Linked DNA regions of Tribolium castaneum. The protein of the gene in region 1 purifies or fractionates together with the protein of each later gene. This does not show direct contact. Links are inferred from orthologs where the notes say so. Each region holds a gene or a part of one and is shown on either strand. Other genes may lie near its edges.

Region 1 (9,309 bases):
AACCAATTTCTTTACAAGTTTTTTTAATTGAGACTAGTGACTGGAATCAAGACTGGGGTCAAGTTTGTGTTTTTGTGCAAGTAAAATAATCTTCAAAGTTGTAATGTGGTCAATTTGGTCGTTTTTTGAGTAATTTTGAGTTTTTTCCCAAAATTGAAGTCCCTAGATTTTGGATTATGGGCGACAGTGCCACCGGTGGCGCTTTCCCGAAGTGCTATTTCAAATCGAACCTTCAACGGTAATTTATCAACAACCAAACTTTATGCACAAAGTGTGAATTTGATTTATCACGGGGCGACCTTGCACTTAAATGGACTCGTTTACGGAGGTACGTGCGCACTTTCGCCCCATTTTCCGATTTTCCGCTTGTTTTTTCCGCAGAATCTCCTAACTCGGGCGAGGGAGCGTCAGAGACTCCTCGAAGACTACAACAGTGACTTGAGGAAGACTCCCCCTCGCAGCGGTAAAGTAACGTTGTCTCAACCTAACTTAAGCTCGAATTCGCCCAAGTTGGAAGCCAATTCCAAGTCTGAAGGTAATTTGCCAACAGTTACACGCACTCACATCTCATCCGATTTCACCTCTCATAAAAGCCTAAATATACAAAACGATAGTTTTAACATGGAAATTAAAGTAAGTTCGGCTGATAATGTTCATGTTGAAGTGCAAATTGAGGAGCAGAGTGATGATGATAGGAGTGACGGGGGTCTGAGACAGGATGCTAAAAATAGGCTAAATCGGTTGGGGAAATTGTATGCAGGTAAGAGAGAAGGCTTTGCTTTGACTCGGGTTTATTTTTGTTTTGATTGGGGGACAAAGGGGGCGACGATGCGGACATTTCTTCGCCAATTCATCAGACAGAAGCTAGATTTTGTGCACATGGGTCTCCAACGAAAACACCGGCAGAAAACGGAAGGAATAAGAGGGGGCTGAGCAAACTGGCCGACTTGGCACAGAGGGTCAATCAGTTTGAGGACGACTTGACTCCAGTAAGTCATTGTAAAAAAGTTAAATTCAATTAACTTTTTCATGTCTTGTTTTCTGTTTAATTATGTATTGCTTCTTACGTCAGTGCCAACAATTATCGAAACAATATAACTTGTAAGACTTGTGGGATATTTACGTACATTTTTTTAAAGTAATTTAATGCAATTATGCGACAGGCTTTGAATAATTAACATTACAGTATAACCACAATTAACAACGTTTCTCGTTGCTTTATTATTATAAAAATAAAAAATTACAGAATATTTAATGAAATATCGATAGTATGTCTTTAAATACCAAATGGAAAGTCGAAGAAAACGTAAATTTTTTATTTAAACGTGCCTTTAGGTGCGTAAAGAGCGGGACAATTCTCCTGCCAAAACAAAAAAATCGTGGAAACCCCCAGCCCCCAAGCCCCCAGAACCAAAAACCCCAAACACGCCACCAAAATCAGCGACAAAATACAAAGCCCCAGAACCACCCATCAAAGATCAAGAAAAACAAGAACAGAAGAAAATAAATTGGGATAAGAAAGTGCTCGATTCTCTCGTAATTTTCCAATAAATTGAACTTTACAATGTAATTTCCCGAGCATTTCCAGGAATCGCAAGGCTTCCAGCGGACAGAATCCAGCTCTAAATTGGTGTACAAATACAAGGCGCAACAACAAAACAAAGAAAATGAACAAGCAACCACAAAACCCGCCTCTTCTCCCCAAAAAAGTAAAATTGCTGATAAAGCGGCCTTCTTTGAATCAAGTCCCAACAAACAGCCAAAAGATCCGGCTTTGTTATCAGTTTCGGAAAGGAAAGCCCTGTTTGAGAAAAACAAAGGCGCAGCTTTGGTGCCCAAAGCCCCATTTGCTATGGCAACACCTATCAAAAAAGATGTCCCGAAAGAAAAAAAAGTCCCTGCGCCACCATCACCAAAAAAAGAAGTGGCGACACCAAGGGGCGAAGGAATTGCGAATAAAGTTGCGGCTTTGTTTGAGCAAAAAAGCACAATTTCGCAGGAACAGATTGAGAGTAATGTGAGGGAGCAAAGGCAGAAAGAAATGGATTTGTTGTTGAATAGATTCCATAAGAACAATGACGAGGAGGAGTTTGATGATGATACGGAAGAAACGGCCATGATTGAGGAAAAATCGGCGAAGAAAGTTGCTGTTGTTAGTCCGAAGGAAAAAAGGAGCAGTGGCAAAAGAAGCCGTAAATTTCTTTATTTTTCAAATTGATTAATTTAATCAATTGAGTTAGTTACAGGTAAAGGCGATAGTCCGAAAGTGGCGGCTGTTCTAAGCGAAGTGAAGCGAATCAAAGTGGCGTCGCAGAAAACAGGCCGATTATACCCAAGTTTGACGGATATTGAGTCAGTGACTGAGACTGAGAATGAGAGTCCGAGTCCAACAACAAACAGGTGCGATAAAATTACCGACTGGATTTTATTCCTTTTATGTCTTTCTTAAACAATTAGTATTCTTTTTTGACTGTATTATATGTGTAATATAACTATTTTACTACAACTGTTTGTTTTTTCCCTTGATCTAGCAGCGACAACAGTTTTGCTGAATCTGACGATGCTAATACCAGTTTCGGTCGAGATATTCTGCGAGCGGTTTGCCAGAATCAAACGCCACAAAAAAGAGTAAGTTTTTTGCTTCATGAAATTAAAAACGCTTAAATCGCGCCACAAGTGAAGTGGACTAAAATTTATTTAGGTGGGTTAAGGTTACGGGAACTGTTGAAGCGAATAAAAAAACAAATATTTTTTGCAAATGCATGTTAATAAATTGAGTCGGAGATAAAAATTTCCTTGACTTATTCTTGAGATATTGTAGCTTACTAATGGGACTGTATTGTTTCATGCGATTTTAACGTCTAGTTTTTTTATAAAAAAATCTAAACTAGGAGTATGTATTGAAATTTTCAATAAAATAAAAAATAGTTAAATTCACTATCAAATTTCATTGCAACTCGAACGCTTAATTTTAAGTTTAATTTTAAATCACTTCATTTTATTCTAAACTGATATAATGAAAATAAATGAGGCTTTCGCAAAAAAATAACAATTGTGAGCCACTTCAGTTGTGTTACGTTGGCTGGAATTTGATTGAATTTTCTTAGCAAATAATGGACGAGAGTGCGAGCGATATGTCCGATGTATTGGACGATATGGACGATTACATCGACGAAGCTTTGGCTTACAATGGCCACAAAGACGGTCCAACACCGCCTAAGCAAGAGCGAAAATCGCCAGTTGTAATGCAAACCGACCAAAAATTCACAAAATAACTAAAAAAATTTACAGGAAACGTCCAATTCCTTCAACTACAAAAGCTTCCAACCGGAATTTAAAACCCCGACTAAAATCACACCACCTGACCAACTCCCAACCCATGTGGTAGACGGCGATAATCTCCTTCCTCTCACCCACACTGTGAGTTTTTACCGCAAACAGCAAACGCAAGTATCGACACCGCCCGTACGACAAGTAATCCGGGCAATGTCGGTTGAGGAATCCCCGGAAGAATCCGCGGAAGAGGAGCAAATCCGGGCGAAAATTCGCGAGTTGCGAAACGAAGTGAGTAAGCAAGAAATGATCATTTCGCAAACGAGTCAAGCGCTCAATTTGTGCAATTCCACACCGGAGTTTATGGGATCGACTGAACAAGTTGAAGCAGAGAGAGTGCTTCTTGTTGCAAGTGAGTTTTTAAGTTTGAATTTTGGACGGAAAATTAACCGATCTTTTAGCACATCGGCGACAAGCCGCAATTCTTGAAAGTCAAAGACTTGAAGTCGAAAAAACACTCAAAGCGCAAACGGAGAGAAGCGGACAATTTCCACTAGAAAAAGGCACTTTGACGTTGTCTAAAATCGTGCTTCCGCTCAAACACAAATACGTCACTGCGCTTTCTGCAGGTAGGCTCATTTTTTTCATTTTCTACAACTTATCCATTGTTATTAAGTTTATTCGCTAAGGTTATTATTTATTCAAAAAAAAAATTTCACTGTAATTAAGCTGGCATATGTATAAATTGAGCCGTAAAATTTACTGGAATAAACAGTTTTGCTGTAAGACTTTTAGTTTTTCAGTTATGAATTTTTAATGAATAACCCGGCGCATCCACCATTTTTCAATTTTAAATATATTTTTTAAACATGTTCTTGAGTAGGCTAGTGTTGTAAACAGCTGGTATAATACGTAAAATGAGCCGCAAAATTCATTAGAGCAAACCGTTTTGCCCCACGACTTTTAGTTTTTGAGTTATGAATTTTTTTGTTAAAGAATTAAGTATTCCTCTAAAGCTCCTAGAACCAACCTATTTCTGTGTCTAAATTTTAGCTGGAGGTAAAGGCCACCATGTCGTATGCCTCACAAAATACTCGGACCAAGTCCTACCAACGCAACTCGTCTCCACAATCGCCTCAAACAGCAAAAACCCAGAACTTGAGTTACAAATCCCGGGCACAATCACTTTCAAAAATGTCTACAGCGACTTTGCTGTGACATTTGAAGTGTACTGTCTTCAAGCACAAGAGGAGATTCTCCCACATGAAGTCAAGTATCACATCAAAAAACCCAACACTAAATTAACACCGAAAAAAACAAAAGATTCACGCTTGATGCGACCAATCAAAGAATCACCAGCTGGACCACAAGTGGTGCGATCCCCAACGTTTGCATTGATGGGTTACGTCGTCTTTTCACTAAAGACGATTAATCAGAAACATTGGTCTTTGATTAATGTAAAAATTGATTTTAATCTATGTGTTGTTTAATTTTTTTGAGGTTTTTCTTATTCTAGACACCGTCAATGAGTCCGTTGGAAGGTACTGTTGAAATGTCACTTTCCTACGAATTGTCAGTGACAATTGAGCATCGCGGATTTTTAACAATGTTTGAAGATGTTTCCGGGTTTGGGGCTTGGCATCGTCGGTGGTGTCTGTTAAAAGGCGACACTTTGAGCTACTGGAAATACCCAGATGATGAAAAGAAATCTGTGAGTTCTTGTTTCTTGTGGACATTTTTTTTAAATTATCGTATCTCTTTTATAATTAATAAACTCTATTATTATTTCTAGCCACCGATTAATTCGATAAGTTTGCGAGACGCAATCACGAAACAAGTGGGCCCTGTTAGTCGGGAAATTTGTGCTCGGCTTCACACTTTTCTTATTGAAACTCAACGTGAAGCACTTTCTCATGACAAAGAAAGTTTGGTGACCGTTCGAAAGGGGTCCAAAACTATCATCAGGTAATTATAAGTTTTACAAAATAACGGAAATCAAAACTGAAAATTTTACGTTTTTTTTTTATAAATTCTTTTAGACATCTCCTCTCCGCTGACACTAAAGAAGAGAGGATCGAGTGGTGCAACAAATTTAATTCGGCCTTGGCCGCCATTAATTTTACTAACAAGTAATTTTTATACTTTATATAATCTATTTTATATTTTTATCAGCTAGTTGTATAAATATTTTAACAAGCAAATGACATAATTGTTATAAAATTTATTTGTAGTGATACAAAATTATTGAAGCATAAGTTTTAAACACAATATACGTTTTAAGTAAATATGACACTCTTTAACCTTATAAAATTACTTCTTCCTCAATTTTTTCGCCGGATTTTCGTTTTTCACGTCCAAATCGGGTCCGATGGACTTAAGTAACGGTTGTTTACAGTACTTACCGAACAGTGTGGTCAGGAGAGCCACCCCATACCCGGTGGCTCTTTCACCCTATTACAGAAACCTGTACTACCGTCTTAACTCACTTATTTTACTAAACTTACACAATGCACCGGCGTTGCCATATCAACATGAACCCACACTCCGGGATAATCAAATCCTAAGTGGGCTGCGATGAAAAGCCCCGCACAACTCGACTGAGCATTGCTGCGATCAGCCACTGAATTTTTCATATCGGCAACGGCCGAAGAAAATTCGGAAAAGTGTAGCTCGGGACAGAACGGTATCGGGAAAACCAAGTCGCCCGAAATTAAGCCGGCCTCCATTGCCATGTTTTCCCAATCTTCGTTATTTGTGAGCACAGCTGCGTGGTATTTACCAGTGGCGACACCCTAAATTTAAATTTTGAGTTTTTTTTCTATGAACTTTTGTATCACCTGAGCTCCAGTCAACGTTGCCATGTCTAAAATTACGTTGGCTTTTAAATCTTTCTGAGCGAAGGCAACGCCGTCTGAGAGGACAAGGCGTCCTTCTGCGTCGGTATTGTTGATTTCTACAGTGCGGCCTGAGTAAAGGGTGTGAATATCGTCGGGTCTACAAACACCCACATATTGTAATCATTCTGTACAGGGTATTACAAGTTGCCAGAAAATAAATACTTTGGTATTTTTTTTGGTAACAAATACTTTTTTTTTTAATAAAAAAAATCTCAATTACTCAAGACTTTCATAGTCTCCACTATTTCAATTTCAAAATTCCCATTTTAAAGACAAGATTAGTTCTAACATAACTAGAAGTATTTATTTTTTGGAAAAAACAATAGAAACACTCACTTTGTGGCATTGGGCCCTACGGCATTTTCGGCCAAACAAAACACGGCGTGTAAATTCTGGGTAAAGTTGGCCTTAACTGCGGCATAGAACGCCCCCAGAATCCCAGCAGCGCCGCCACAGTCACGTTTCATGCCCGGCATGGCAGTCTAAAACATCTGTACCAACAACAGCAAAAAATAAAAATAAAATGCTTGTTACTTTTCCCTTGATGCTCAAACCGCCGGTATCGTAGACAATGCCTTTACCGACCCACGCAATGGTCGAATGAGCCCCCTGAGGGGTGTAGCTCAACACAGCGAGTGCTGGGGGAACATTAGCGGCTTTGCCCACCCCATAAATACCCCCGAAGCCCCTTTCGGCCAGTTCTTCGCCCCGGATGATTGTCGGTTGGATTTTTAGAGCGTCTCCGACTTCGCGAATTTCCTGTAATTTTAACTGGGGGTGAGCTCCACGTTGGGCGCCACTTTGCCCCACGTTGGGCACCACTTTGTTACACGGACGAATGTGGCAAAGCGATGCCTTAGGTGGAAGTCAAGGTTACATACATTGTGTAACTGCATTTTTTACCCCAATGAACATTTATTTACGCGATTTACACACTCACTAGTTCTATAAATCTAAACGAATTGCTTATGACTCACGAAATTAAAAGTGTAAATAATAAATAATTAATAAATTTTGTGTACAATAAAAAAAATCATGAAATGAAATAGAATTACCTGAAGGAAGTGGTCGACGTTCATTTCATTGCACGGAGTGTCGACGATACGAGCGGCTAGACGGATTCCAGTCGCGGCATCATCGAGGATTTTCAGTTCTTCGGCGCTGAGTTCAGTTCCATCTATTTCGTCTAAATCAAAGCAGTTTAAAAAAATAATTTAAAAAAATGGGTTGGGACCCACCTGAGTTGGATGGAACTATTACGAATTCAACCGAAACTGTTGAATATTCGGTGGTGTTGGAGCCCGTTTTGCGGCTGTAGAGGGGAAAAGCCCGGGCCACAGCACAGCCACTTGCGTACACATCATTACGTTCGCAAATTATCTGTTAATTTATTAAAAAAAAATTAGGATATTTTTGAAGTAAAATATACAATAATAGATGAACTAACTTTTAAAACATAATTTATTAGACATTTTATGGAAAATAAGACAAAATTTTAAAACCCAGTGTTTTCAAGGCATTTTTGAGATAACATTTTTCGTGATATTGGGCGATAAATAACACTGTTTTGCTGTTTTATGGTTTTATTCACGCATTTTGAGAATTTTTGCCTTTTTCGAGCGTTTAGTTACAGATACTCAACTGTTTCGTACAATTTCTAACAAACAATATAATTAAAAAGTCATCGAATTAAATATTTCAACAAGGTCATTGCTCTCAAATGAGAAGTTTATCTAAATCCTGCACTTATGCTGTATTTTTTTATCAATGATATAAAAGATAATTTATGTCAAAATGTTTTGGAATAATTTTTCAAGTGCATGATGATCATAAATGGTATTATATCAAGTTTCAATTTTTTATTTTATCTTAATCGTTAAAAATTTCTCTGTATCGATAATACATTATTTTAAATCACATAAAAAAATCATGAAACTGGGTCGTAAATTATATCATTGTGCATTTTTCTTTATAGAAATTTTCATCAACACAAATATAAAAATTACAAAAACACATCATTTTTGCAATTATTTGAACGTGCTGAAAATTCACTAATAATAACTGTGTCAAAAATCCAATTGTTTAGTCGCTTTTTATCCAGAATTATATTGTATTAATTAATTTTTTCACAAAAGTTTGTCAAATAATAAACCTAAACTGTTTTTAAAACACTTTTTCGTAAAATTCTGTTAAAAGTTGGTCAAATAAAATCGCCAAATTTGATACAAAGTGGTGTTATTTTTCGAGGATTAAACATTTTTTCAAGCTAAAATGCAAAAAAGTGAGATACTAAAACATGTATTGATCTAAAATGACATTGGTTTCTCATTTTTGGAGCGTTTTAACAAGAAACACAAATATTTGAGAAAAAAAATCCTTAATAAAATAATCAGCAATCGTAAAAAACGCTGTTAAAAAATTTCAAGGTTCTCGAAATTTATTTTAAAGGAACAATTTTCTCGATGAGTTGTTCACTCACCACAATGCTCTCGTCGAGCCCCACGGTGCAGCTCTGCACCAGGCGGGTGATTGCATGAGCCCTTGAAGGAGTATTATGTCTGCTACATTTGACGGGCAAGGCGGCTACCGTGGCCAAATTCAGATACAAGGAGCAGCTGTCGGTCGGTGATGGATGCAGACTAGAGACCGCAACCTTGAACACGTCTTCACTAACCCTCGGCTCAAGCTTACTCTTAATATCTTGAAACTTCAACTGGGTTAAATGCTTCACCTGCCCGATTATCAACACTGGTGTTTGTTGGGGATCGGTTTTTGTCAACCCGCTACGAAAAATGAGTTTCGTGCTCATTTTTTCTGTAATTACACACAACTAAATCATCACAAACAACTTAAACTTATCGGGAGATAACGCTGGGAGTACTCAAATAGTGAAATTTTCACAATGAGAGAGCTATATTTAAATAGCTTGTTGGCAAGGAAAATTCACACATTTTCGAGGCGCAATTTTTCAAAAACCAACAAAATTTGAATGAAAATCAAAAGGGGATAATTACCAGTCACGGCGTAAACGTTTTTTCTCAAAATCTTAACACTCTTAAGACACTAAGCGACTTTTTTTGGACTACTCGGTCATTATAACCTCTACATGCCACACACGTCAACTTGACATTTGACATTA
Region 2 (4,139 bases), on another chromosome or scaffold:
GAATGATCAGAAACTGTTAGACTTTAATTATTAAGATGGTTCTGGAAACACTTTTTGGCGAGAAAGTTGTTAAAAAATTATCCGAGGTAAGAGTTTATGAAATTTATAAAGAAAACAAAGTATGGTGAAGAAATTGAAGCGACTGCATGTATGTTGTAGCAAATTCTTTGTACACAATAGAGTTTTACAAAAGATAAACCGAAAATATTTACGATACCGATCGGTTCTTCTGAAAAAGTACAGCCTGTCTGCAATAAATCACACAATATGCTTGCCTGATTAGCTTGAAGGGTCCTTGCGGATTGGGGTAATCATAATAAAAATTTAATGGTGTACAAAGAAAACGTTGCTGAAATACTTTTTTAAGAATGCGAACATATGTGCCCATTATATCTATTATATCATACCCTCATGCTACCTGAAATGTCCTTTTTTTGACTGATAATAACCAAATAGTATGCCAATGAACGTAGAACATACGGGATGATTTTAATAATAGTTGGTAGAAATTTTAGAAAACCATAGCAGGTAACTTATTAGATCGAAAAATGTTAGGTAAACACTTGGGTTATCAAAATAAACATCCTTCCTAGGATAAGTTTCTCAAAAGCTATTATTATTTATTTAAAAATGTACGTTTTTAAACTTCCAATATACAAAAAAAATATATATATAGGTCCTTTCAATAACAATTATAATGAAGTAAATTTCTGTTGCTAAGCAAGTGATCAAATAATTTTCATTTTAGATAACTTTTTTTACGACTCAGAAATCGAGATCACTTCCTTGCATAAAATATTGTATGTACGAGAAGGTTTTTAAAGTTTTAACAAAATTAAGGTAAATTGCATTTTTGTAAACCTAAACATTGGCCTTTTTTAGTTTCTTTCGACCTAAAATCCGGACTTTACTAATTAATGATTCTTATTGTAAGGATTACAAAATTTGGGTAACTAAACGTATTATAAATAAAAAAGTGTGAAGATGACTCCAGTGAAAAGGAATAAATTTCACTACGTTTAAGGCACCAGGTACAGGTTTCCGCACACGTGCAATATGTGTTCGTTTTCCGCATTGAATATCACTGAGGAATGAGAATAACTGCGAATTTAATTTAATCTATGCTATCTATCATATAAATTACACAATCAATTATCATTATTGTTATTAAAATGTGTAATTGTTAAATTCGTGATATCTTTTGGTGCTAACTACGATAAAACAACAGGAAAACAATGATTGTCACCTTTTCAGTAAAATTGTTCAATAAAAACCTGAAAAAATTGTTAATAATTTTAAAGTTACATGATTACCGTTTAACGTATTTTTTGAAACATTTAAATTGAAGATGATTTTGCGCACTCATCCGAAATTAGGATCTTGACCACACTCAAAACAGTGGGACAACAAAATGATCATCAGACTTTGAATTCGTAAAAAATGTGTTTTTTTGAATGAAACATCGTGTCCGTCGACAACGTACAAGCCCCGGTTTAAAAATAAACCCACAAAGGGGTCCCAGTGCTCAAATCAAAGCCGAACACACTGTATTATTCGAAATAAGGACCGGTTTATTTTTCCTGTGGAATTACGTTGCACGTGCAACAAAACCGATTATGATTCAAAACGTGTCTCATTAGAAAAATATCGCCATTGGTTTTGCGAAATGTGCGTGATGTGTGCCTTCATTATCGATTTCTGTCCCTTGCCGAGCTGTGCGCAGAACGACAATTCGCCCCAAACGCTCCACAACTCCTCTGGTCGATTGCACCTTTTTCCCACTACGGCGACTCGCTCGCCCCCCCACAGCCCCGCCAAGCCTCGCCATCTGGCTTCAACAACAAGCAAACCAAAGTTGAATTCAACTCGTTTCGGAGTGACGGTGACCCGCATGTGCTGCTACTGATAATAGTGATAAAACGGTGGAAAGTTGTACGTTATCGGTAATAATCCCGCTTATCTTGGCTATCAGGGCCTGATTGGGGCTGTTTTAGGTGGAGCGGAAGAGACGCCACGGGCGTGGCTGACCAAGCAAACATTACTCATACCCGGCATCCAACTGTCAATTTGACATCACAAATCGCGAAGTGAATAACAATGGCAGTGTAGGTCCACTAGGTGTTTTACCACAATGAGTGCCAACAATGTGAATGCTCAACCTGCCCCTACCACCCAAGCCACCGCCACCATCAAGTCCAGACCCAACATCATGCCCAGCAGCTACTTGTACACTTCTAGCAGTGCCCTTCTCAACCGCAACGCTGAGAACAAACCCACGCCGCCGCCCACCCTCCCCAAGTACACCTCCAGCTTCAATGCCGGGAGCGGTCTCAACCGGGACAGGGACAAGGACAGCATCGGGGGTTCCTACCGCCTCTCAAGCCTGGACCGACTAGCCATGAGGCAGAAATTCATGGACCAGCAAAGCCCCACAAATGGCACCATCACCACCCAAACAAATGGCAGTGAAGCCACTTCAATCCAAACCAAACGAGAGATGTTCTTCACTTCAACCACCGACACGAAGGACTCCAACAGGGTTAAACCGCCAGAACCCCCGGCCAAGACACCCCCAGAACAACCGGCCAAAGAAGACAGCAAGGAATCCACCCCTGAGATTGTCAAGGAACGGCCTAAACTCAAAGAACTGGACGGTTACGTCGGCTTTGCCAATCTACCGAACCAGGTGTACCGAAAGGCCGTGAAGAAGGGCTTCGAGTTCACCCTCATGGTGGTGGGGGAGTCAGGCTTGGGCAAATCCACCCTAATCAACTCGATGTTTCTAACAGAAATCTACAACGCCACCGACTACCCTGGGCCCACCCAGCGCCTCAAGAAGACAGTCGCCGTGGAGACCACCCGAGTCATGCTCAAGGAAAACGGCGTAAACCTCCTCCTCACCATGGTGGACACTCCCGGCTTCGGCGACGCCGTCGACAACAGCAACTGCTGGGCCCCCATCATCGAATACATCGAGTCCAAATACGAGGACTACCTGAACTCTGAGGCCCGCGTCACCCGGAAACAAATCCCCGACCAGCGGGTCCACTGCTGCTTGTACTTCATCCAACCGTCGGGACACGGCTTAAAATCCCTCGATATAGAGTTTATGAAGCGTTTGTGTGATAAAGTGAACATTATTCCCATAATAGCAAAGGCCGACACGCTCACATCCGACGAATGCGCCCTCTTCAAGAAGCAAATCCTGAACGAGATCGCCCAGAACAAGATCAAAATCTACGAGTTCCCCGACACGTCCGAAGACGACGAGGAGCACAAGCTGAACAAGTCGCTGAAGGAGCGCGTGCCGTTCGCTGTGGTGGGCTCGAACACGGTCATAGAAGTGGACGGGAAGAAGGTGCGCGGCCGGAAGTACCCCTGGGGGATCGCCGAAGTCGAGAACTTGGAACACTGTGATTTTATCGCACTTCGCAACATGATCATACGCACACATCTCCAGGACTTGAAGGACGTCACCAATAATGTGCACTACGAGAATTACCGTTGCCGCAAGTTGGCCGGTTTAGGGGTGGATGGGAAGCCGTCCCGGATTTCGAACAAAAATCCACTGGCGCAGATGGACGAGGAGAAGCGCGAGCACGATCTCAAGATGAAGAAGATGGAGGCGGAGATGGAGCAAGTGTTTGAAATGAAGGTTCGTGAGAAGAAGCAAAAGCTGAAGGATAGTGAGGCGGAACTGACGAGGAGACACGAGGCGACGAAGAAGCAGCTGGAGCAGCAAGCCAAGGAGTTGGAGGAGAAGAGGAGGCAGTTCGAGATGGAGAAGGAGCAGTGGGAGAAGGAGAACCAAATCACGGTGGAGGAGCTGCGTCGGAGGTCGCTCGAAGGGAGCAGGGAGGCCGTCGATGGCAAGAAGGAGAAGAAGAAAAAGGGACTTTTCTAACACTGAATGTATAGTTTTGGTGTGGTACCTTCTTAACTTCATGGTAATTTCTTTAATTAAGTGACTTTAACGGCAGAGATAGTTTCGTCTAGTGAGACTCCCGCAATAGATTGAGAAATTATGTTTTCAAATACACAACTGCCATTAAAATAGCGTAATTGTCTACGTGCCGATTTACTATTTTTTACCATGATTACTTGTGAGCTGTTTAGATCGTACATTAAGAGATAATGAA

The links.
Region 2: the proteins of scra (region 1) and pnut purify together in Drosophila melanogaster (affinity purification with western blotting; 3 studies listed by BioGRID, with this or other methods). This does not show direct contact. The link is inferred for Tribolium castaneum from reciprocal best matches to the Drosophila melanogaster genes scra and pnut.

What each region holds. Positions count from the first base shown.
Region 1 is NC_087396.1:20,581,701-20,591,009, forward strand, and holds scra (anillin), read left to right. Parts: upstream 1-153; 5' UTR 154-310; coding exon 311-328; intron 329-381; coding exon 382-760; intron 761-819; coding exon 820-989; intron 990-1,335; coding exon 1,336-1,536; intron 1,537-1,588; coding exon 1,589-2,192; intron 2,193-2,240; coding exon 2,241-2,400; intron 2,401-2,531; coding exon 2,532-2,628; intron 2,629-3,107; coding exon 3,108-3,242; intron 3,243-3,291; coding exon 3,292-3,685; intron 3,686-3,734; coding exon 3,735-3,902; intron 3,903-4,326; coding exon 4,327-4,730; intron 4,731-4,789; coding exon 4,790-4,984; intron 4,985-5,065; coding exon 5,066-5,238; intron 5,239-5,312; coding exon 5,313-5,406; 3' UTR 5,407-5,558; downstream 5,559-9,309. Other genes in the region: grsm (probable aminopeptidase NPEPL1), read right to left, coding at 5,584-5,724, 5,778-6,065, 6,111-6,267, 6,507-6,652, 6,705-6,929, 7,226-7,356, 7,409-7,550, 8,650-8,979. UniProt on the Drosophila melanogaster protein: Required for cytokinesis. Essential for the structural integrity of the cleavage furrow and for completion of cleavage furrow ingression and proper formation of the midbody.
Region 2 is NC_087394.1:33,632,954-33,637,092, reverse strand, and holds the start of pnut (septin-7), read left to right. Parts: upstream 1-1,339; 5' UTR 1,340-1,943; intron 1,944-1,994; 5' UTR 1,995-2,131; coding exon 2,132-3,904; 3' UTR 3,905-4,139. UniProt on the Drosophila melanogaster protein: Involved in cytokinesis and possibly cellularization. Also acts as an enhancer of the sina gene, thus having a role in photoreceptor development. May be involved in p53-dependent apoptosis.